3 linked regions of the Drosophila melanogaster genome follow. The protein of the gene in region 3 interacts with the protein of the main gene of each other region in a pairwise test. Each region holds a gene or a part of one and is shown on either strand. Other genes may lie near its edges.

Region 1 (6,461 bases), on a different chromosome or scaffold from region 3:
AAACGGCCGTGTGAGACAATCGCATTATTTACCATATACAATTCACGTAAAATGCAATGGCCATTTTCATGCCGTTTCAATGAAAGTAAAGAAAAATACAAATATTAACCACAAAGGCCTTGCTCACATCTGTGGGGGGTGGTTGTGGGCGGTGTGCGGTGGGTGGTGATTGGTGTGCAGTCGCCTGTATTTATGCATTTAAATTCGTCCGTTTCTCTATACGTATGTGTGTTCATATTGAATGGATAAAAGGGATTTGCGTTTATTTCGTTCTGCGTCTGGCCTGTTGGGTTCTTATGTATATATATATATATATATCCATATACGATCTGTCTATATGGCCGATGTCTGCGGGGCCATTTCGGAACAGAACGCAACACGCCGGAAACATTTTTGTTGTGCCATTTGCATTGCCATACAATTTTGCTCAACACATTGGCAGCAACAACGGGCCCATTTGGTTTTATATTTCATAAACCGGGGGGATACGACGAAGGTTTCTGTTTTAAGCGGCAAGTCAGAACGTATAAAATACAATAAATATGTCATAAAATTGTGGGTTGTCACAAACACTTTATATACATTTGTACCGAAAACCAGTATGGGCACCTTTCTGAAACTATATATTCATTCTCTATATTTTCACTATTTTACTAGCTATTTGTATACAGCGTAAGTTCTTTATTACATTCTTTCAATTTACGCTTGTCCAGTCCATCTTAATATTTACTTGTTCTTAAACGAGCACCGGAAATGATCGTTTGAGCTGTGCTAATTGAATGAAATGTTAGACTCGGCTGGGAATTAAAAAAGAACTGCGTATTTTCGTTGACTCATTTCACATTTTTAAATATATTTGGTACCTGGTGATTAGCTACAATTTATGCAAATGCAAGATCATACAAATATTTTCTACAATGGCATCGCGACGAGAGCACGTCTGAGTTTAGAATGCAAATATTAGTGCAATTGTACGTGTCTTTGGCGGTGGCAGCTCCTCAATAAGTTAAAATAAACTATGAACTAAACGAATAACAGTTATTAGCACGTGCACGCAGAAATGAGATGGCACCAGTGGTGGACAGGACAGCCTACTGGACCTTCTTGGCCTCCTTGGGCGCAATGGGTAGTCGTTCGATGGCCTCCTTGTACAGCTGGTTAAGGCCAAAGGTGGCGCGCACATTGTCGCTGGAGAAGAAGAACTTTTGCAGTTTACCCTTGGAATCGACGCAGGGCCTGCGGTCCGTCTCCTTGCCCTGTTGGAACAGGATCACAGTTGGTAGCTGTCGGGAGAAGCTGCTGTCCGAGATGCGATACTTTTGGGCCACGTCCGGAAAGCGTCCAATGTCAATCTTGCCGAACTTCAGGTGGTCCGTGTTGTACTCGGCGGAGAGCTCAGCAAAAACGGGGGCGAAGTTCACGCAGCTGGGATTCCACACCGTGTAGAAGCAGATCAGCCAGCTGGTTCGCTTGTCCCTGGCCAATTCCTCCTCGAAGACCTGTGCGTTGCGGAAGTAGGTGATGTGCTCGGGTCCGCGATACGAGGGCTCCGGCAGCACCATGCCCACCAGGACGCATAGAAGCAGAAAGCCCAGGCCGTAGCGGAAGTCCGCGTAGGCCCACAAAATGGCGTTGGCCACTTTGGTGTAGAGGAACGACGAGGCCAAGTAGTTAATCATGGTGACACTGCCCGTTTTGCGTGACCGTATCATCACCACGATTAGCAGGAAGAACAAGATTTCCACCTCACGACTGTCCAGGTCGCATGCTTCATCCTCTCCGGCGAGAATAAATAGGCGGGTGCAGATGAACTGCGTCTTTTTGGCCAAAAGGTACGATATGGCCAGGAGTATGTTAACCCAGTAGTATGGCTTGGCCAGCAGAGCCATCTGCTTCTTCCACGTCATCTCTGCGTCCGGGGGCTGAATGCGCTGATCTGGGTCACGATTTTAATTAACAATTTCCCGAGTTTTTCTTTTCTTGCTTTTGACAGCCAATTGTTAATTTTAGCCTCGCCGTTGACTAGAAATTAGCAGCCTAGTTGTCTGGCACGGGCGTTGCCACCTGATAAAAGAACAGTGGCACTCTTGTCAGTGCTGGAAATGGTATTAGTTCGTTGGCGCCTTTTCAAATTCAAAATCATCAATTAACAGTTTGCCTTTCTTAAACGTTCTTTGATACGTTTTATTTACTTATATGCATTATTATCTTACAAGTATTTAGTATTTAGTATTTAGCATTTTTTTTAAATGATAATTAATCAAAAGTTAAAACCATAAACAGAACTTGGGACAACCATATTTGTTTGCCCGAAAACCAACCGAAACTGATAAGCGAGTTATTGTTACATCAGCATTTTGCTAAAGTCATTGAGAGATTGTTGACCTAGCACACAAAGGCCACTGCAAAAAAAAGGTAAAAAAAAGGCATCGAGGATCTTCATTATCGGCACACACGCCGAGTTCAAATCTGCGAAAAAGCTTGGCTCTCTACGTGATCTCAGACGCTCGTGGCTTCCATCAGTCGCCTTATCACCCAAATATTATTTTGGCCTTTTTTTTTGTAGTTCCTAAATTAAATGTGTTTGGAACTGTGTGAATACTGTGAGAATTTTGTACCCACTTCATAGAGCATCACCAGTATTATCGCCATCGTGGCTGACTCTCCGCGTTGTGCAAAGATTAATTTTTTTGTAGTAAACACTGTGCGCGTCACTGGACTAAACGATTTATTTTTAATCGTATTATTGAGACCAATTTACGAGGGTCATCTCCATGATCCCCATCGGATCGATCACCCACCTCTTTACTGGTTTCACTAGTAGGCCGTTCTTTGTTTATACAGCGATTATTTTATGTTCAATACACTGGCAAATAAAGTGAGCTTGCTTCTATTTATAGAATATTTTCAACTGTGTTATTAGTAACCTCCTTATCGAATCAAACAACTTTCTCGTGGCTTTATATTTAAATTCAACCAATCATTCACTTTATAGTAAAAAAAGTATTAACAAAGACACTAGAATAAGACAATAGAATAAGAATTCTAGTGTCTTTGGTAATAATATATTAAAAACAATTAACTTAAAACAAAATAAGATTTTTTCAAGTGCACTGTTTTGTACAACTTGATAGAAATGAAATAGGGAATCAATACAGAAAATATTTCGAAAATCCGAGATCATGACTAATCAAAGTCAAATCTAAGGTGTTGATGCTTTTGCACCTTGTCTGCGCCAAAACAAAAATGAAGTGAAAATTTCAGTAAACAACGTGCACTTAGGTCAGTTTTTAATAATATTATAATCACAAATGCCTTTGCCAGCATGCTATAGTGTGTTGGCAGCCGGATTAATCTGGTTTGGAATAAAGTCTCGTAAGATTGTCAGCCATTTGAGTACAGGGACACTCGTGATGGGAACGAGAGCCCTTCATCTTGGCTGCGGCTAAAAAGCAAAACTGGTCTATAGATCCAGGGCTCTGATAGCCATATCAAGTACACAAATCTACTTCCCAGCCCCATCGAAACTTCCCGTAGAGCTTGGAAACAAATAGGCTTGTGTGTGGAAATGACAAAAAAAAAGGCAAAACCAAAACAATGACAACTGCAACTGATAAGTGGCACAAAATGGCGATCACTTGCCGGCTTTATAATCGCGCTATCAAGGCAGCCTGATCTCCTGTCTCCCGCTTATCACTTGGCGGCAGCTCCGAGCCGAACCGATCCGATCCGAACACGCGTTCTATAAATTCCATTCCCAGCCAGGCGACGTCTTCAGTTTAAATCCGAACCCTTGTGCTGAGTGTTCATCTCCGAGTAGCAGACATAGACAATCGCAGACAATCGAGCAAATCCCAGAAAAAACGACAGGCATCAAATGCCAAATCCATCGTGCAAAGCTAACCATTCCAATTGGCCTAATCTGATTCATAGTTGAAATTGTGATAAAAAACAAAAACCAAAGAAACTGGGACACATTTCGATCTAAGCGAAATATCCCCTATCCCACAAACTTTTTCCGGACTTTCAGTTTGGCCTTTGAATGCTGCTGCAGCAGTGCGGAAAAATCATCAATCTCGATCAGCATTTCACCGAGTGCTGGAATACAAGCCCATTGCGAAACTTTGACTTCATCATCTCCCTTCTGAGCGTTATTTCCCTAAGTGGTGGGTGGTGATTTTAGCCATGTATTTACAATGTATAACTAACTTTTGATGCTCCTCCTCCGCCTCCAGTTGTTAAGATGGCCGCCATTCCACAAGGTGCATTCGCAGCCTGCAAGATTCGCGAGCAATTCAACGAACGTGAGCTGATCATCGCCCGTCTGAGGTCCGCTGCCGCAGATAAGGGTTCCGTTGACAACGGGAACGCCCTAACCCGTAAGTGCACATGACGATCCACGATCTCGATCCGCTGGGTCAATGGAGCTCATACGCATCAATTTTGCATTTCCAGAACGCGAGTACTCGCCCAACAAGTACAACGACAAGCTGATGAACTCCATCTGGGGATTGTACAATCGCTATTCCCCCCACAATGTGAAGAAGAACGAGTACGCCCCCACCAAGTGATGACCTAAAGTGGGGCCACGTTCGCTTCCAGCTGACGTGCCCCAAACGCGACTAGCATCCCCACCAGGATGTTGGTCAAAATCAATTATATATTATATATACACAACTATAATCTCAAGCATATATCGATTTAAACGCACATAACACTTTGGTAACAAATATCTATTTAATGCTGTAATGTTTTGTAAAATTCAATAAATACTTATGATATTGTATGTAAAGGGACAAGACCATGAGGCGTAGTTTAATTTAAATAGCAGGACTCGTAGGTCGGCACCATGTACTTGATGTTGATGAAGGCATCCTCGCCGCCATGCAGTTCCAGCACCTGCAGCGTCTCATCGATCAGATCCCCCAGATTCAGATTGTTCTTCTGGGCATAGTCGATCTCATCGCCGCAGTTTACTATACAGCACAGAATATCCACTTCAATGGAAGTTACTGGAAGTAATCGAGTTTAGTGGAATACCTACAGTTTTTCACCTTAAATGCATTGAACATGGGCAGCAACTGGCGGTAGAAGGGCACCAGGGCGGGTCCCACCAAATCCGAGGACATGACCAGCTGTTGGATTATCTTCAATGTCGTGCACATTACCTCCAGGTTTCGTGTGCTCAATGCGTCTGCAAATGGGGGCGTATTTGGTTTTGGTTTTGTGCTCGCATTGGCAAGGTGCAAATTAGACCGAAAAACTTCGAGGCATTTGCGTGCCAGCCAATGCCCTGGTACTCACTCTTCAGCGGCAATATTAATTGCGGTATCACCGGGTGTATCTTCTCGCCCCCGGCCAAGAGGAGATCCGTGACCCCCTGGCGGGCATAGGTCTTGTAGGGATGTTTCGTCTCCGCCAGTCCGTCGAAGAAGAGCGGCAGATAGAGGCTGTAGTCCAGCTTTTCAATGTCCACCTAGGCGAGATACGGGAAGAGGTGACACCGTTGGCGGGTCAAAGGTGAATAGAGCCGCTCCAAGTTCGAAATTGGTTCGTGTACCGGCGGTGGCGCAAGTCTTGCAAGTGTACATTTGCACGCCATGCCGGTTAGGCGCCCTAGCTGATTTCCATTAAGATGCTCTTTGTTTGCTTACGTTGTCAGTGGAAAATTTTTAGAACACATCGAGAAATGGGCCTGTACCTGCCTATAGACTTTGCAGTGCTAAGTCTAGACTAATCTTTGTTCGAGAGTCTGCTTTGAGTATAGTTACCAGCTTAGCTTAGTTGATTTGAGCTAACAAAGGGTTATAATATAACCCACTATCTTAACCAGATTGTATTGCATATATGACTGAATGACTCAGAATAGGAATTTTACTTTGATTTTAAGAAGACAGCAACTTTATATTTAAGTCAAAGGCGACATCGCTGGCATCGCAGCTGCGTGAGCCTCACATATGGGTTTCCCCAACATCGACCTTCGACCCCGTGACGTAAATCAGGCAGTGTCACTCACATATCACTCTCCTGTCACGACGGCATTTCGGCCTAGATAAACAAACGCACCACCCAAATGACATACGCCGCATATGTGGACTCCACATCGAATATGGAGTGCCATCCAAGGTCTGTGACATTGAACCAGCCAAAGGGGTCACACACACACTCATGCGAGGTGGGTGGGAATTGGTTACACATAACTTTCCGATTGCAGCGGAGTTCCATGGGAAATTGACTGACAGTTGGACGGTGCGACGTTTTGAATGTCAGTAGTCGCATTCCGGACGGAATCGCTTGCCCGTCAGCCGTGGAGCTCTACTAACTCCGGAAATAGACAATGGCATATTATTTACTCGGTTTTTGCTTTCACCTGCAACACTTGAAATAATTGGACACGCAGGTGTACGAAACTCGAGCTAAATTCAAATATGGGCTTTGTCTATGGGTCACCGAGTGGTAAG
Region 2 (5,175 bases), on a different chromosome or scaffold from region 3:
AGGAAATTGTTTCGAAAATCACCGGGAAAGTGCAATACGCTTGGAAATCAGGGCTGTGGGTGCTAAGAGGTTTTTGGACTCAGGAACTTAGAGGCTGCTTGAGCCTAAAGCTTACCCATTTGTAGTACTTAGTAAAATGCATACTAATAATACCCCTTTATTTTGTGGCATCAAAAAACATATATATAAAAGCATATAAAATTCAAAGGAAACTTTAATAAACAAATAAAAACGTGGTAAAATGTGCTTGTTTGTCAAACTTCAAACTTTTCAATCAGCCCTCGTTTAAGCGCGACTAGCATTAAGCTCATTTGGGGAAGTGGAAGCAGGAACACACCTGCCCAGGTAATGCAAATTTGCTGTTACTGCCACGCAGCACGATCGCTGTCATCTTGCACAGCCACATCATCATCATCATCATCATCAAGGTTGTCGGGTAGAGGAGAAGGATAAGAAGGAGCGTCGATGTAGCCGTCGAGGAATCGATGCCATTTGGACCATCAGAGGGGCTTTTCGAGGCGCTGCAAGGTGTCCAAAGGCAGAGTTTGCAGTATGCCCAGGTAGCTCAGGAAGTCCTTGTACTCGAACACCTGGTCAGGTGAATCGGGTTTCGGTTCGTGGTACGGTGCCAAATCGTGACAGATGAACTGACGTGGTGGCACCGATGTCACGTCAAAGATCTCATAAATCTCCCGGTACCACCTCGCTCCGTCGTCCATGTCTACCGCTATCTGGTCTAAGCTAATGAGGAGGTGAGGGACTTAATTGGAGGTAGCGACAGATTTATGCACTTGGAAAAGTGCATTTCAGGAATGTTATAAAACCTCCACTTGTCCTTCTCTATTAGCGCTTTTCCCACCGGCAGCTTGATGATGCGGTCCACACGTGTGTCCCACTCGTCCAGCGATTCCATCTTCTGATGCAATTCACCGGACTATTAGGTAACTTACAAAATTGTTAATGCCCAGGTTGAATGCGAGCTACCTTTCTGCCAAGGACAACTGAAATATGCGGAAATATTCAAGTCAACAGGCGACAAGAACACAATGCGATCCAGTTGAATAGGGATGTCTCACGCAATTTGCATTCACTGCATATACATCCATGTAATACCGTTGATAATTTAGAACACAGCCTGTCTAATCAGTAGATCCTTCGAATTTCCTCATGTCTTGGGGCTTTCACTTTTGTGAATCCTTCGAGCGGCCAATTAGAAACACAATACTCCCCAAATTATGCGATACACCGCGACAAATTCAATTTGCCACACCCGCCCCATTTGCTATCCTGCTCTCTCACACGCAGCGAGACACGTGACCAGCGCGCCAGCAGTGCGAGCGGGACAGAGATGGCGAATGGGAGACACGTTGGAAGTTGTGCTGAAAAATCCCAGGAGAAATTAGTTTGATTTATGTTGAGTTTCCGGTGCAAATAAATTGCCAAGTTTAGAGAGAACTTTGGACGCACTGCAGACGCATAATTGATTATGCGAGTGGCGTACATCCAATTGGTGGGCGGGGATGGCGCAGGGGGCGTGGCGCCAGGAGGGAGCGCTGGTGGTTGGGCAGGACGAAGGTCGACAGGAGAGCGGTGATGACTGTACATTGTTAATGGTGAGTGGGCGAGGGGCTTATTGCTAAACACAAGCAACTCGTCAATTCGACACCCAATTATTTGGGATTTTTCTCGCGGTTGTCTTACAAAAGAACAAAATTTGTTAAAGAAAAAAACTTATTTATTATTTCGACAGTGCATTAAAAAAGAATATAAGAGAAACTAAATGTGTTTATATGTATTAAATATTACGTTTAATGTTTAGTTATTTATCATAATTCTTAAAATCAACGGCTTTTAAGAAAATATTTTCCTAAACAAAAATTCTAGAAAGCCCATTTGTGAAAATTGCTGTGACTTTCAAACTATATATACATAGTACTATATACATATATTTTTAGACGACCATCCCTTTTCCACCTCAGTTATATAAAAACCTCGTTGACCCACACAACATCGGCAACTATAAATTTGTTATTCATTGAAACATCTGTTAAAAAGAAAAGCAGAATGAGTAAATCATCCATGTTTCTTTATCACCCTCTCTCTCCGCCATTCACTTTTATTGTTACCTGTTTGTTTAATAAACTTTTGTGCGATGCATTCGGAGCGCAACTTAAGTACTTAAACATTTTTTTTTATCGCCGGACTTTGTCAGTTCAAATTGTTGCCCGTTTGCAAAGCGGAGTGAGAGAGATAAAAACAATGCGAGCGAAAGAGAGGGACATATGGGGCGGAAAGTTTGTCGCAAGCAAAGTTTTTGTGCGCAAATTGCAGTTTACTCGCTGCTTACTGCAACATCATAACTGCGGGCTACAGAGGCGATGGCATTATGTGGGCGTGGCCGAATGCAAAACTCCCCAGCCGATTCGAGGGTTTATTGCACTTGACTTGGGTCGGCCCGATGAAATGATTTCGAACACTGAGGATTGAGAATTTCGCAGAGCACAAGGCAAAAACTTTTATTTGAGGTCGAGGAATATTTGTATTTATAATATTTTTTGCACTGCTAAGTAACAGCTGTGAACCTCATTGATTTTATACATCATATAATGGCTAAAGTTGGAGAACGATTTATATTTCTTTCAGTGTAATAACTATGCGCCGTTGGCTTTGTGCACTGCAAAGTTTGCTTTGACACTTTGACATTGACAATGATGTATGTGCTCGCTTTGTTTGGGTGTGTGAGTGTTAGTCTGGGGGGCGTGTTCTTGGGTGGGCGGGTGCGACTAAGCTCTGTCATTAAATATCGATTTGTTGGCCATGCTCCGCCATTTAATAGCTCCAACTTAAAGTCAAAGATTTCATCTGAGCTCGGAGAACTCCACATTGATTACTGACTTACAGAAATGCGGCGGAGCATATTGTTCAAGTTGTATTTACTGCACTTGAATTGGATGCCTTTCCAATAGCTTTTTGTAGCACACTTTTCCGCAGTTTTATTAGTGCGAAATTTATGAGGGCACTGAAAACGAAAATTGCCAACGAATTTCATTCATTTGTCATGCCCTTTTATGGCCAACCGATGAAATGTTCGAGAACAGTAACAGCCATAAACAATTTCCAGCGTTTTTCAGCTGTTTACAAACAGCAAAGAAATGGTTTGTGGGCTAAAATGATTTTGTTGTTTGCCTCGTTTGAATTGAGCCATTTTACCGGCTGTGATTTGGCTAAAAGTTCAATGTACATAAATGTGAATAGTGTGGATGGGGCTAATTTCCGATTTGCACTCACTTCCTCTCGCGGGAAATGCAATCATAATCTCGACTAAATTATTCAGGGCTCCTCGAATGTTTACTAAATTCGTGAATATGGCCCATGAACGCATTTCGGCGGAGTTGGGGCACTCACTTTGCTGCTTACCAGCGGCAATTTTAATTGTTTTATTTTAACATTTAAAACCAATTTATATTTATGAAATTTCGTAAATTGGCAATGTCATAAAACGCACACACTCACGCAGACTTCCAGGCACTTGTGCCCTCAGGTCGTATTCGCAACATTTCCCATTTAGCGTGACATGCTTTCCCTTCTCCATTTCCCATTTTCCGCTCACCCATTCCAAAAGCCCCGGCATTTCGCATTTCGCATTTCCCAGTTGCCATTTGTGGCCCGCTGCCCTGTTATGTGGTAATTAAAATGACTCTTGGCCCATCTCCGACGCGTTTTTGGACAGCTTTTTACTGCCACTCAGCCGATGCGTCGTATATGCGTAATGTCTGGCTAAATTATTAATTTACTATGGCCCCGAACGAGTGTTGTTAATTAATTTGTATGCAAATGCCGGAAAATCGAGACTGGGTGGTGCTTGAGCCGGAACGAGTGGCTGATCCGCTTCAATGAATCGCTTCAAATGCTGACCAGCAAATCCCATTACCATTGAGTGGATGACGATGGTTGTGGTTTATTAATTGATACGAAATAATTATGGTTAGGTAGGTGAGAAGTTGGTCTGAAATGATCTGCGGATGGTTTTTATCTATTTGTTTGTCTCGCGACTTCATTGTGGACGGCAGTCCACTTAGTGACGAAGGGCACCAGTTAAATGTCTCTGCTGGTGACTCACGTTTTCATCTCTTGTAGGTTTATTACAATCCCAAACCTTCGAAGCTAATATTTTCAACATCCTGAATGCAAGGTGCACACTAAGCTGTACTGCGGTTAGTCTGTACGCTTTTACCTTTGCTGGATTGTTTGCACTGCGGCAACGGGGCGTGTGATTAATTTTAGCCGGAATAGCCGACAAAAACCCTTTCATTCATTCCGCTCCTTTGTCACAATAAAATTGGGGAGAAGGGTAGGGCAAACAAGAGCATATAATAAAAACAGTAAACATTTAATTGCCTGACAAATATTTGCCCTTCGCCCCAGCACCAAAAAAGGGGTTTAGGGCCAAGTTTCGAGAGCTCGACAAATAGGCGCTGATGAAAAACTTTAATAGTAAAACTTCCCCATTCGGCTTATGCTTTCATTTCTCCTTCTTCTTCTCCCATTTCTCCGCCTTTTCCCCCCAACTTTTCTCTTATGCATTATCGGCATACGCTGCTCATATAACTTTGCTCGTCGGCTGCCGTTGAAAGTTTTGCGCAGCTTGACAAAATTTTCAGAGCTATGCGATGGTCGCTATATATGCAAAAATCTTAAGCGAAGTATCGATTTTGCCGCCGGCTAAAAATTATTTACAAACGAATGAACTTTTAAAGGAGCCAACTCCAATTGAGTGGGTTGTCTGCGGTTCAGTTTTGTTTGTCTGCCAGCTCGAGAGTCCTTTGCCAATGCCCGGAAGCCCTACTACAAAGGACATCGCATGGCGGGTGAATTCTCCCTAATAAAATAAAAAAAAGGCACACAATATTTGGTAGGAATTGAAAGAATGCAAAATGAAAAAAAAATGGTTCAAAAAACCGGTGTCCCGTATTCTTAAATTTTTGTATAAAATTAAGATTATAAAGATTATTCGATTATTTTGATTTTTTAACTATACTACTACTTGAATTAAATTATTCAAAAAAACATTTGATCGCGGCTTATCGATAAGCTGATTACTGTGCTATCGATAGGTCATGATCAGTAAGTAGCTGCACACGATAGCAAGAATTCATCTAGAGATGACAATGTGGC
Region 3 (10,116 bases):
CTTCCCGCAACTCAAAGTAATTCATTGGCTTGGAGTCCAGTGAGGCAGTGGCGCCCAGGACTACGGCACGGAAGAGTTGATCCGCCAGCAACTGGTCGCAAAACTCCCTCAGGTATTTGGCGTTGACCAGCTTGTGCATATCGTACACTCGGCCCTCACAGTCCTTGCCATAGATTCGCGGTGGCAATCCCTTCCGGTAGCTGCCAAAGTCGTCGGGATTTAGGTTCGGATTGAACTCCCCGATGTTGGAGATGTCACGCAATCCGAACAATATACGACCGGCGTACTCCTGTGCCAACTCATCGAGCAGACTTATCCACTTGTCCAACGTGTCTCCGTGCCGGTTCTTAACAAAGTGAAACGCCACCACCTTTGGCCCATCAAATGTGAACCTCCCACCCGGCGATTTCCTATCCACTTCCGTTAATGGCGGTAGCCACAGAATCCATGGAATGGAGTTATTGTCGATGGTGTACGTCTTCACAAGAGCCATTTTCTCTCCGGACGGGAAATCGCTGAAGTAACTGTATTGTTGTTCCCAAAGATACATTTCCTTTTATACACTGCATGCATCACCGTTTAAATTTCACAACCAAAAAAGCTCACAGCAGCGAGCTTTTCTTAACATTGATTATGTTTGGAGTTTAACAGCTGCAACTCAATAACATGTTCATAAAACTAATTATTCCAATTGGAAGAAACATTTAAGCTTAAAGATTATGAGAAAAATATGAAGAATTAAATCTTAGGAGGCAGGGACAATACTCATTAAAAATAAAAGTTATTAAACTGTTGTGATGTAGTCAAATTTATTAAATTCCCTGAATACTTAGGTGTAATAATATTAATTAAATATCAAATGAACTGCCAGCGCAGTCGTTTCGTTTGCGAATCAAACAAAAGATAAATAAAAATTTGAATGTGTCTGTGAATAGAGGTGCTCTGCCGAATAATGAACTACAACCTAGCACATACAATCTATAACTTAACTGGTGCGCCAACTATTCGTGTGTGTACTAAAGCGCTGACCAAGTCAATTGGTCTATGATAAACAGAACCCCCAGAAAAGATACGCACAACCGAAAACTAATCAACAGAGTTAGCCTAAGTCTTAATATTATTTACGCGCTGCGGTAAATATATATAAAAATAGAAAATACAGTGTAGATTCCGTTTGGGCGCACAATTGCTTTCAGACGCCATTAACCCCGACTCCAAGTCCGACCTAGAAGCGCACCTGCTTGAGCTTATCGTAAATGCTGAAGTACAGGGCCGTCGTCATGCTTGACTTAAGGAGTGTGGGGGCCACGCCCTTGTACAAGCCCCTAACGCCCTCTTGGCGCACGGTCAGCCGCAAACAGTCCCAGACTCCGTGGCACTGCAGTGTCTGTCCGAAGGTCTGGCGATTCGACTCGAAGCCCTGGATTTGCAGTCGCTTTTTGATCAAATCGAAGGGATACACGATCGTCTTGGATAGCATGCCCGAGGAGGCGCCCAATCCCAGCAGCGTCCACGTGGGCAATTGGCTGCGATCGCTCACCTCCAAGAAGGCACACGCCCAGTCGCTGAACAGGCGGTAAGCCATAAAGTTGGTGCCCATCAGCGGCGTTATTTGCAGCAGGGCGGAGGACAGACCGCGGTACATGCCGCGAGGTCCCTCCTGGCGGACAATCGCCGACACAGCCCTTGTTGCATTCCTGTATCCCTTGCTGGTGTCCTGGGCAATCAGACGAGTGCGGATGACGTCCAGCGGCGTGGATATGATCACTGCTGCTCCTCCGGCCGCAGCGCCGCACAGGAAGTTCGATAGATGCTGATGATCCGCCAGATAGCTGGTCTGTTTGGCCATCAGGCTGAGCTGCTCGTACGTCCAGAACTGACAAATGCCGTACATTATGCTCAGCACTTGGGCAGGATTGTGTCCCTTCCAGAAGGCCAACATTCCCTCCTCGCGGTATATGGTTTTCACCGCCTGTCCGATGGATGTGTATTTGGAGGTAAGGGCTCCTGGTCCCTCCTTGGCGGCGTTCTTGCCCAGCGGCTCCACCTGCAGCTGGAAGCGGATCTTTAGCACGTCCAGCGGCTGGCAGGTGGAGCGCGTAATGGCCGCCGAAAGTCCACCGGCCAGCATTTGATGCAGCTGCTCCCGCGTACTGTGCTTGCGTCGCGGAACGGGAGTTGTGGTTGTGGTCGCCTCACTGGTGGAGCCTGTGGTTACCGCCATGTCTGCGTCGGAGCTACCTTTGGTTTTGCTTTTCGTGTGCGTATGTTTGCTCGTGCGGATTTCACTTTTATTGCTGCGACTGCCAACTTTTCAATGGCATTTCTGAAAATAAAGAAACGCAGACAGGTGGAGACGTTATTACAGTCGGAACTATGTAGATGCAACTATTAACTCGGACTTAGCAACTTCTATGAGGCTGGATCTAATAGGTATAGCTTATATATTATCATAAAGAATTTGTTTTGAAGGTTACTTGTAATTTACTTGACTCTTGTGAAATTCAAGGTAGATGCTGTTAAAAAGAAAGCTTAAGATTGTTTCTTGATAAAAATGAAATATGCTAGGTTTTACTGGTATCAAAGATGGAGTTTTCGAAAATCCGACTTAGCAAAGCTTGCCTGTAGCTTTCATTCAAAACGTTTTAGAGGTGCGGCAGGGCGCAAACTTCGACTTGTTTACACACATTCATCAAAGTCGATGGACAAATTGTTGTGTACAAGTGCGTAGACAGGAATTGGGAAATAGTAGGAGTGGAATTCATCTGAGGATGAGACTTACAAGTATCATGCTCCACGGAGCGTGCGTATGTCTCTGCGATTACTTCACTATTATCTCGGTCGGTTATGGCCAATTGCCCGCCAATTCGCAGAGCTCCCAAGTTGACTCCAGGTTCAAACGGCCGTTCATTGATTGACAATAGCTCGGTTGGTATTCGGGTTTATCAGCGATTTCACTTTTTTCCGCTTTTGTTGTTCGATGTCTCGGCGACCGTTGTCCAGTTCCCAAAATTCCGATGCTGCTGCTCAGATAAAGAGACAAAGGCATTGGCAACACGCTCGATGGTGATGATGATGATGTTGCTGAATGTCCAGAGCAGCGCACTACAATCTGAGCTCACCTGGAGCAGATGCGTCCGTTCGCGGGCAGAGTGCAGCAGTGACTGCGGCGCCGACGCTTCTTCATTACAGGCGGCGGCCCGTGGATTGCGTCAAAACTTTCTTTTCGCCAGACTTGTAATAGCGCCGCCGTTGAGATGCCGTTGCAGTTGTGTCAATCCCCTGCTGCCGCTGTCCAAGTTGGCCGCTTCCCACTTCCACAAACTGGTTTTCCGAATTCAAGACGCGCTGCTTCAAACCTCTACGCAACAACAACAAAACAAACTAAATTACGTCGCCAAGTGCACGGAATCAGCTGTTCGAGCCGCTGGCGATGAGCTTTTAGCGAACAGCGATGGCAACTATCGGCTATCGTGGTTGACAACAATAGTAAGAAAATAGCTAGAAGCTAAAATTCAGTTTTAGGGTTTTCTTAATTGGGAACATAAATATTTTTTAATAGTAAGCATAATTCCTGAAACCAGATCACTATGTTTATACTCGAGTTAATAAAAGGCCATTTAGGATTAAAATGATACTAACTATCGATATTAATATAGCTGTCACATGCACAGCGTTGCCACTTATGCGGGCTTTCTTGTATATTTAAAAATGCCTTAAGGTGTAGAATACAAAATGGTTAAGTTATGGTCCCTATTTCCACCCAATGCCGCCAGTGGAAGAGGCGGCTGGAGCACTAGGCGTGGGTTTATAGTCTGGTGGTATACTGAATCCAAGCACCTCAAAATTACCGCCTGGCGGAGAAGCAACAGGTGTGTTGGTCGTATATGGTGGCGATTTTTGTGCGGCTGGCGACACAGGATTTGGTGTGAATTTCACAGGCGTAGCAGGATGCGCCTCCTCTGCCTTGGGATAAAGACTGGGAAAATTAGCTGCCCCGTTTGAGCCATTGGTTCCAGGCTTCCCATCAAATGGATAGACGGGATATCTTGGCTTAAAGGTGTTGGACTCGAATTGCTCATCGCTGACGTCCTCCTGAAAGTTGGGTGAGCCTAAGCCGGAGAAACGTCGATTAATAACACTTTCGATTATGCTTTCTTTAGTGCAAAACCCACCTGGATGAGAGGCACCACTGGGCTGGGACTTCTCCGCCCCGGGCCCCTTGTCATCAGCACTTCCCAGCAGCGGCACTGTGCCAATGGTTATTGGAAAGTCCATGACCAAGTCGCCACCACCGTGCAGCTTGAAGGTCTTGGCGATGAATCGCAATGTGTAGCTAACTCGAATGGGATCCTTTTCGCTTTGCGTGGATGGAGTAGTTGGCGGCACCGTGAGGAACTCATCGAACTTGGCCTTGTTGTGCTTCAGCACCTCACCGCAGTGCTTGTCCGCCACCCGAGATTCGGTTACCTTCAACTGCTCCTTTGCGCCCGATGAGTTGGCTCTATATGAGACGTTCTTGATCAGACGCACCTTCACGTCCATACATTGGACATCCGACTGGTTGTCCAACACCAGATGGAAATGAATCTTCTGGCCGGGGACGTAGGCAGAATAAGAGGTGCTCACGTCCATGATCATCGGCTTGTGGGCACCGAAAATGGAGCCCCACCAGAAGCTCTTCGACTCCAAGCGTTGGAGGGGTTCCTAAGGGAAGTGCGCTTCATAAGGTTATTCAGTTTGGAAGAACAACCAAGACTACATACCTTATACTCGAGCCGCCTATTAAGATCATGTGGCAGGATCACCGTGAAGCACTGCTTAAATGTGTTGTTGTAGCGAACCGCGCGATCGATGGTTAGGGTAACCTCGTGCTTAATCTGACCATGAGCACCATTGAATGAGGTGGGTGCATTGGGCGGAATGGTAGCCCGGAAGGGAAAGACGTACTTGCCGGTGGGCAACTCCAGCTGCGAGCCACCGGCCTGGCCGTAAACCGGCTGGTCAGTGCTGTAGTAGACCTCGGTGGTGGTGTGGGTCACCAGGGACTTGGTCGTCTTCCCATCCTCTCCCACTCGCTCCTCGCTTTCCTGCCAACGCGTCTCGCCGTATCCATTTATGGTTATAAAGATCGCTGCAATTGGATTAATTTGTCTGTACTGCCGGGTATGTAATTCAATTATGCATTTAGTTTAATTGCCATTGACCTTGGACCTTTTGTGTGTTTCGGATGTAGAATTGTATTGGAAAATTGCTCAGCTACAAACAACTGTCTTTGTTAATGAACTAACAATAATTTAATCAGAAGCATAAAAAAAACGAATGCTACCTAATAAAGTTCACCATCAAATTAAAGCGCTGCTAAGGCTCGACTATTTGATACCCTAGGAAATATTTGATTATTTGAATTTGAACCGATGGCTAGGGTCCACTTAGCTTGCTAATGGGATTTGTATAAATTTATATATATATGTATATCTGCATGAATTACGCCTAATTGACCCAAAATGCTACCTATACACTACAATTTAAAGGTATTGGCACGAACGGGCTGACCAGTAACTGAATCAAATATCTAATAATACAAACAGCGTACGCAATTTCAAAACAAAACTAGTTTTTACGCCGCTATCAGATATCCGCCAGCCAGCCAAGCGGCCACATGTGTGTTGTATATAAACTTTATGTATACATACATATATGTACATTTGTATATACAATACACATCTTTCAAGCATATCTACCGGCAACAATAACATTAAACCAGCGGATAACAAAGCACCAACAATATTAAGTGGATATTTATTTATTAGTGGATGGTAAAACGGTATGGGATTCAGAATTTGAATGGTGATGGAGGGGGATGACGTCATGGTTTCGAGTCCATTAGAATACATATGTATGTAGTGCGTCTTCTTCCGCATGTCGGTGTCACTTACATCGAATCGTCTTGGGGCGCTCCGTAATCAGTTCCGCCGTGCCGGAGATAAGCTGACCGGCTTGATAGAGCCCCAAAGGATTGCTGTCGAAGACGAAGTTCACCTTGCTGCTCATCCTGTCCAGAATTGGCTCCTTGGCGACGGTGTCGGGTGGTATCGCGCTATCAAGTTCCTTTGTTTGTTTTATTGATAGTTGGTGGAAGAGGTAGGGATTCGATGTATTCGAGGGTTCCGGCGACTCAGCTCGCAAGCTCCGAACGCGAGCAGCTCTGGCTTAATACTGAATTCTCAAAAGTCTTTGGTGAGACCGAAGAACCGAGAAGCAAACTTTTGTGCGCGAGAGGTTACAAGAAGAAGAAGCGAAGGACAGAACGGGGAAGCACACGAAATACTATATGGAGCATTATGCTGCTAAGCCAACTAAAGTTTAATCTTAATAAAATATGTATGTATGCTTCAATCATCGCTGACATCTAAGCTGAGCGTTTTGTTATCTATACAGTAAAATATTTGGTAATTATTATTCGTAGTGAAATATATCAACTTAAATTATTGGCGATATTCAAACAGAGAGTTTCTTCTTCTCTTTTCAAACATCAAACCATAAAAAAAGACCATTACTACCAAGCATTTCTGAACTCTTGCATTACAACTGAAAACAGTGCATTTAAGAAACGCTGTTTAGAACTTAAACTTTAAATTAGACACATTTGAAAATACCGATTAAAAAGTCTGCGAATTAACCGCTTCAGCTGGCCAGGCGCCCGGTGGCAGCACCGCGCAACAGCTGTTCGTGCTATCGGACCGCCGCTCTCACGGTTATCGAAAGAGAGCTGCAGCTACAACAAAAAAGCGTAACTCACGGATCTCGTAAATTTATAAGAAATTTAATTATTCAACCCGCCAGCGGACGACAGCAATCGAATTAAATTAGCCCGGGGTGTGCGACCAACACTTGTGGGCCATTGCGAATTGATGGATATCGAGATTCCCCAAGAACTGGCCACAATCAGCGCGAAAAAGCTCCCACTCACCGCGCGGTGTGTGTAGTAACATCAAATCGTAAATCGTGAGGCGAGTGCGTGTGGTGGTGCTACTATTCTGCATATACTTTAGGGTGGTGCGGGCCGTGGTGCTGCAGTGCATCCATGTACGTTTGTATGTGGCGGCATTTTGATGACGAAATTATTTTTGGATAAGTGCGTGAGGAAAGTGGCCAAACCGGAGGAGTCATCACCATCAACGCCAGCGGAATGGAAAGCGAGCGGCTGCGAATCACGCTGGACAGCGCGGATCGGGTTTACTTTGCGGGCGACATAATTCGCGGCGAGATCTGGATGAACGTCAACAAGCGCACCAAAATACGCGGTAAGTGCCAGTCGAGCATAACTTGCCGCTTCCTGGAATGCACATCTCAAAGCTCGGCTTGCATCATCCATGACTCAGCTGTAGACACGCAGAGAAAGTGTTTCAAAACCCTACATTTAACGTTAGGCTCTTAGTTTATGATTCTGGGTATTGTTTACATGTGTACATATAGATCGTATTACCGAAAAGATTTAGCTTAGATATAGTAATCTAATATTAACAAAGATGGTTTTCTGCACAACCCATCATGTACTCCACAAATAGAAATGTGCTTTTTTCTGTTTTGTCAGCGGTTTGCAATCCATTGTCCGCCCGATGGTCAGCTGGACTTTCGTTGCGGCCCCATTCGCATAAACAAAGAACTCCATCAGTTAACAAAGCACAGCGGCCATTTTATGGGGCTTCCTCCCCCTCCGCTTCACCGCAATTTCGAGATTCTTGCTCGCAAATTCCTCTAATTGCCTTCGGCGCTCGCCTTTCATTCATCGATAAGCTTTCAATTGCCGCCCGTTGCAATTGCAATTGAATTTCTTTTCGTTCTTCACGATTCTTGAGTACTGGCATTTGTTTCAGGAAATGCCAACCCAAACGCATCGCGCGAGAGGGGAGTGTAGACGGTGGGGGCATGTGCGAAGAGAGGCACACTCAGTTGGCGTGCCGAAAAAGCCGTAATATTGGGCCAAGCGCAAGTCGGGTCTAAATGAGAGAGAGGTGAGAGGGCGCTCGCAGCACAGTGGTGGCCACAAAGGGGTTTATATAGGTTTTTTTTTTTAATTATCCAGAAATAAGATTCCCAGTAATGGTATATTCCGAAGTATAGTGTTTAAAAGGCAAACAGCTATCTCCATTTTATTATGAAGTATACCTTTAAAACAATAAGTGGTTTATTGAATTTTTTATAAATGACTTAAAGAATTTTAAATCTGACATAATTGGGCGCCCTTGACTGTACAAGCGCCTCTCTGTTGTGATTTGCCACTATACAGGTGTGCGTGAGAACAGCAGCTGGTCCGTGCATGTGTGAGTAAGAGAGCGCGAGACTAAACGGGAGCGCCACACTATCCCATATTTTTTAGAAATTAATGCGCTACGCGATAAAATGAAGGGCATTTGGGTGTCATGAGGTGAAGCTAAAAGTGTTGGCTTCACGCATGGGGCCAAGGGTTTGTGGACATTGCCTAAAAATAGATCGACGGCTGTCCGTTAACTGCCCAAAAGTCAAAGTCGGCTGTTATCAGCGCATATATATATATATTTATATATATAAAAAACGCGATTTATTATCAGAGCACAGAATACGAGTACAAAAATATGTTTATACAAAAAAGGGGGGAGCTGCAAGACATGCTCATGAGGGGAATGATATCTGTGGAAGAAGGAATACATGACAGCTGCTACTGTGTAAGGCTTCGCAATTACATTAATTATACGCCTGTTCCTCTTAACCGGCCCACAAACATACATATTTCATACGTATTCATTTATATATATCTAAATATATTATGCACTTAATTGAACACAGCAGTTTATCGTTAGTTTGTGCACATTGGATGTAATTTCGGGGTTGCTCCATTACGCATTTATGCGGTCGTTGAGGAAAAGCTCCATCATCGGCCAGATCTCCTTTGTCTGTTTTCCCTTGAAAGTGGCAACCAGACCCTTCTTTTCGTACCAGGCTATTACCGGGCTCATCACCTCATCGTAGAGCTCCAGTCGCTTGGCCACCACATGGGGTTTATCATCTTCGCGTTGCATCAGCGGCTCCCCCGTCACATCATCTTTGCCAGGCACTTTGGGATTCTTGAAGCCAATATTGTACACCCTGCCGGAGGGCGCATGGATCCAGCGATTCTTGACCCGGTCGATAATCACACTATGTGGAACGTCCAGCGTGATCACGGCATCGATTTGCTCGCGTGCAGCCAGTGCCTCGGCCTGGGCTATATTGCGCGGGAATCCGTCTAGGATGTACGACCTGTTGCCTACCTCGGTTATCCGGGCCAGCATCGTCTTGGTCACAATCGCGTCGGGCACCAGTTTACCTTCAGCAATGTACTGCTTGGCCTTTTTTCCAAGTTCTGTGTTTTTTATGATGTTCTGGCGCAGAATGTCCCCCGTGGAGATGTGCACACATCCATGGTTCTTGCAGATCAATTCCGAAATAGTTCCTTTGCCCGAGCCGGGGGCTCCGATTATCACAGCGCGAAAGATTTTCGTAAACATGTCTAAGCTCTAGTTCTTCAACCTCTCCTTGAGCTGCAAGACAAAAAATTGAATTGATACATGGTTAAATTTAATATGATATGATAAAAAAATTCGGTTTATCTATTTAATATAGGATCTGTTTTTATATTTTGATTTAGGGTCAATAACATATAATCTTGGCAGTAAAACCAAAATTATTTCAGTTGACCATACTCGACTACTTTTATGGGCGATAAGACTATCAAGCACGCCACAATTGTTTGATACAGAGGTGATGAAGGTCATAGTTTTCGCTAAAGCTTATGTGTTTTATGTGTGACTAATCACGGGAATCCAACCAATGATTCCATTCAATTTGTGAGCGAACACGGCAATAAAGAGTGGGTAAATATAACACTAAATCACTTGTCAGCTTTTGTGCTCGTGAACCAACATGCCGCTTGGTAACAAGTGTAGCGCAAACACTTAAAAGAGCGCCACCAGCAAAAACAACAAACAGAAGAGACAAGCGTGGCTTTTCAGCCTTATGTTCTTTGTCTTCATGTATAACCAGATATTGTTGTCGCCCCGCTTATCGTCCAAAGTCCGCACGGAAAATTATAGA

Evidence for each region. Proteins that work in one complex are often made in the same cells at the same time.
Region 1: the proteins of Tpc1 (region 3) and CG11007 interact in a two-hybrid assay, tested with the Drosophila melanogaster proteins (one large-scale study listed by BioGRID).
Region 2: the proteins of Tpc1 (region 3) and CG12862 interact in a two-hybrid assay, tested with the Drosophila melanogaster proteins (one large-scale study listed by BioGRID).

What each region holds. Positions count from the first base shown.
Region 1 is NT_033778.4:19,498,634-19,505,094, reverse strand, and holds CG11007 (uncharacterized protein), read right to left. Parts: upstream 2,028-6,461; 5' UTR 1,908-2,027; coding exon 1,092-1,907; 3' UTR 501-1,091; downstream 1-500. Other genes in the region: CG16926 (uncharacterized protein), read left to right, coding at 4,043-4,166, 4,236-4,379, 4,456-4,571; CG15120 (uncharacterized protein), read right to left, coding at 4,816-4,976, 5,045-5,194, 5,305-5,476.
Region 2 is NT_033778.4:14,639,714-14,644,888, forward strand, and holds CG12862 (uncharacterized protein), read right to left. Parts: upstream 914-5,175; coding exon 831-913; intron 742-830; coding exon 501-741; downstream 1-500.
Region 3 is NT_033777.3:10,878,781-10,888,896, forward strand, and holds Tpc1 (thiamine pyrophosphate carrier protein 1), read right to left. Parts: upstream 3,409-10,116; 5' UTR 2,783-3,408; intron 2,327-2,782; 5' UTR 2,225-2,326; coding exon 1,226-2,224; 3' UTR 792-1,225; downstream 1-791. Other genes in the region: CG14695 (uncharacterized protein), read right to left, coding at 1-493; CG14696 (uncharacterized protein), read right to left, coding at 3,754-4,112, 4,176-4,707, 4,767-5,134, 5,940-6,054; leash, read left to right, coding at 7,193-7,307; Ak3 (adenylate kinase 3), read right to left, coding at 8,880-9,530.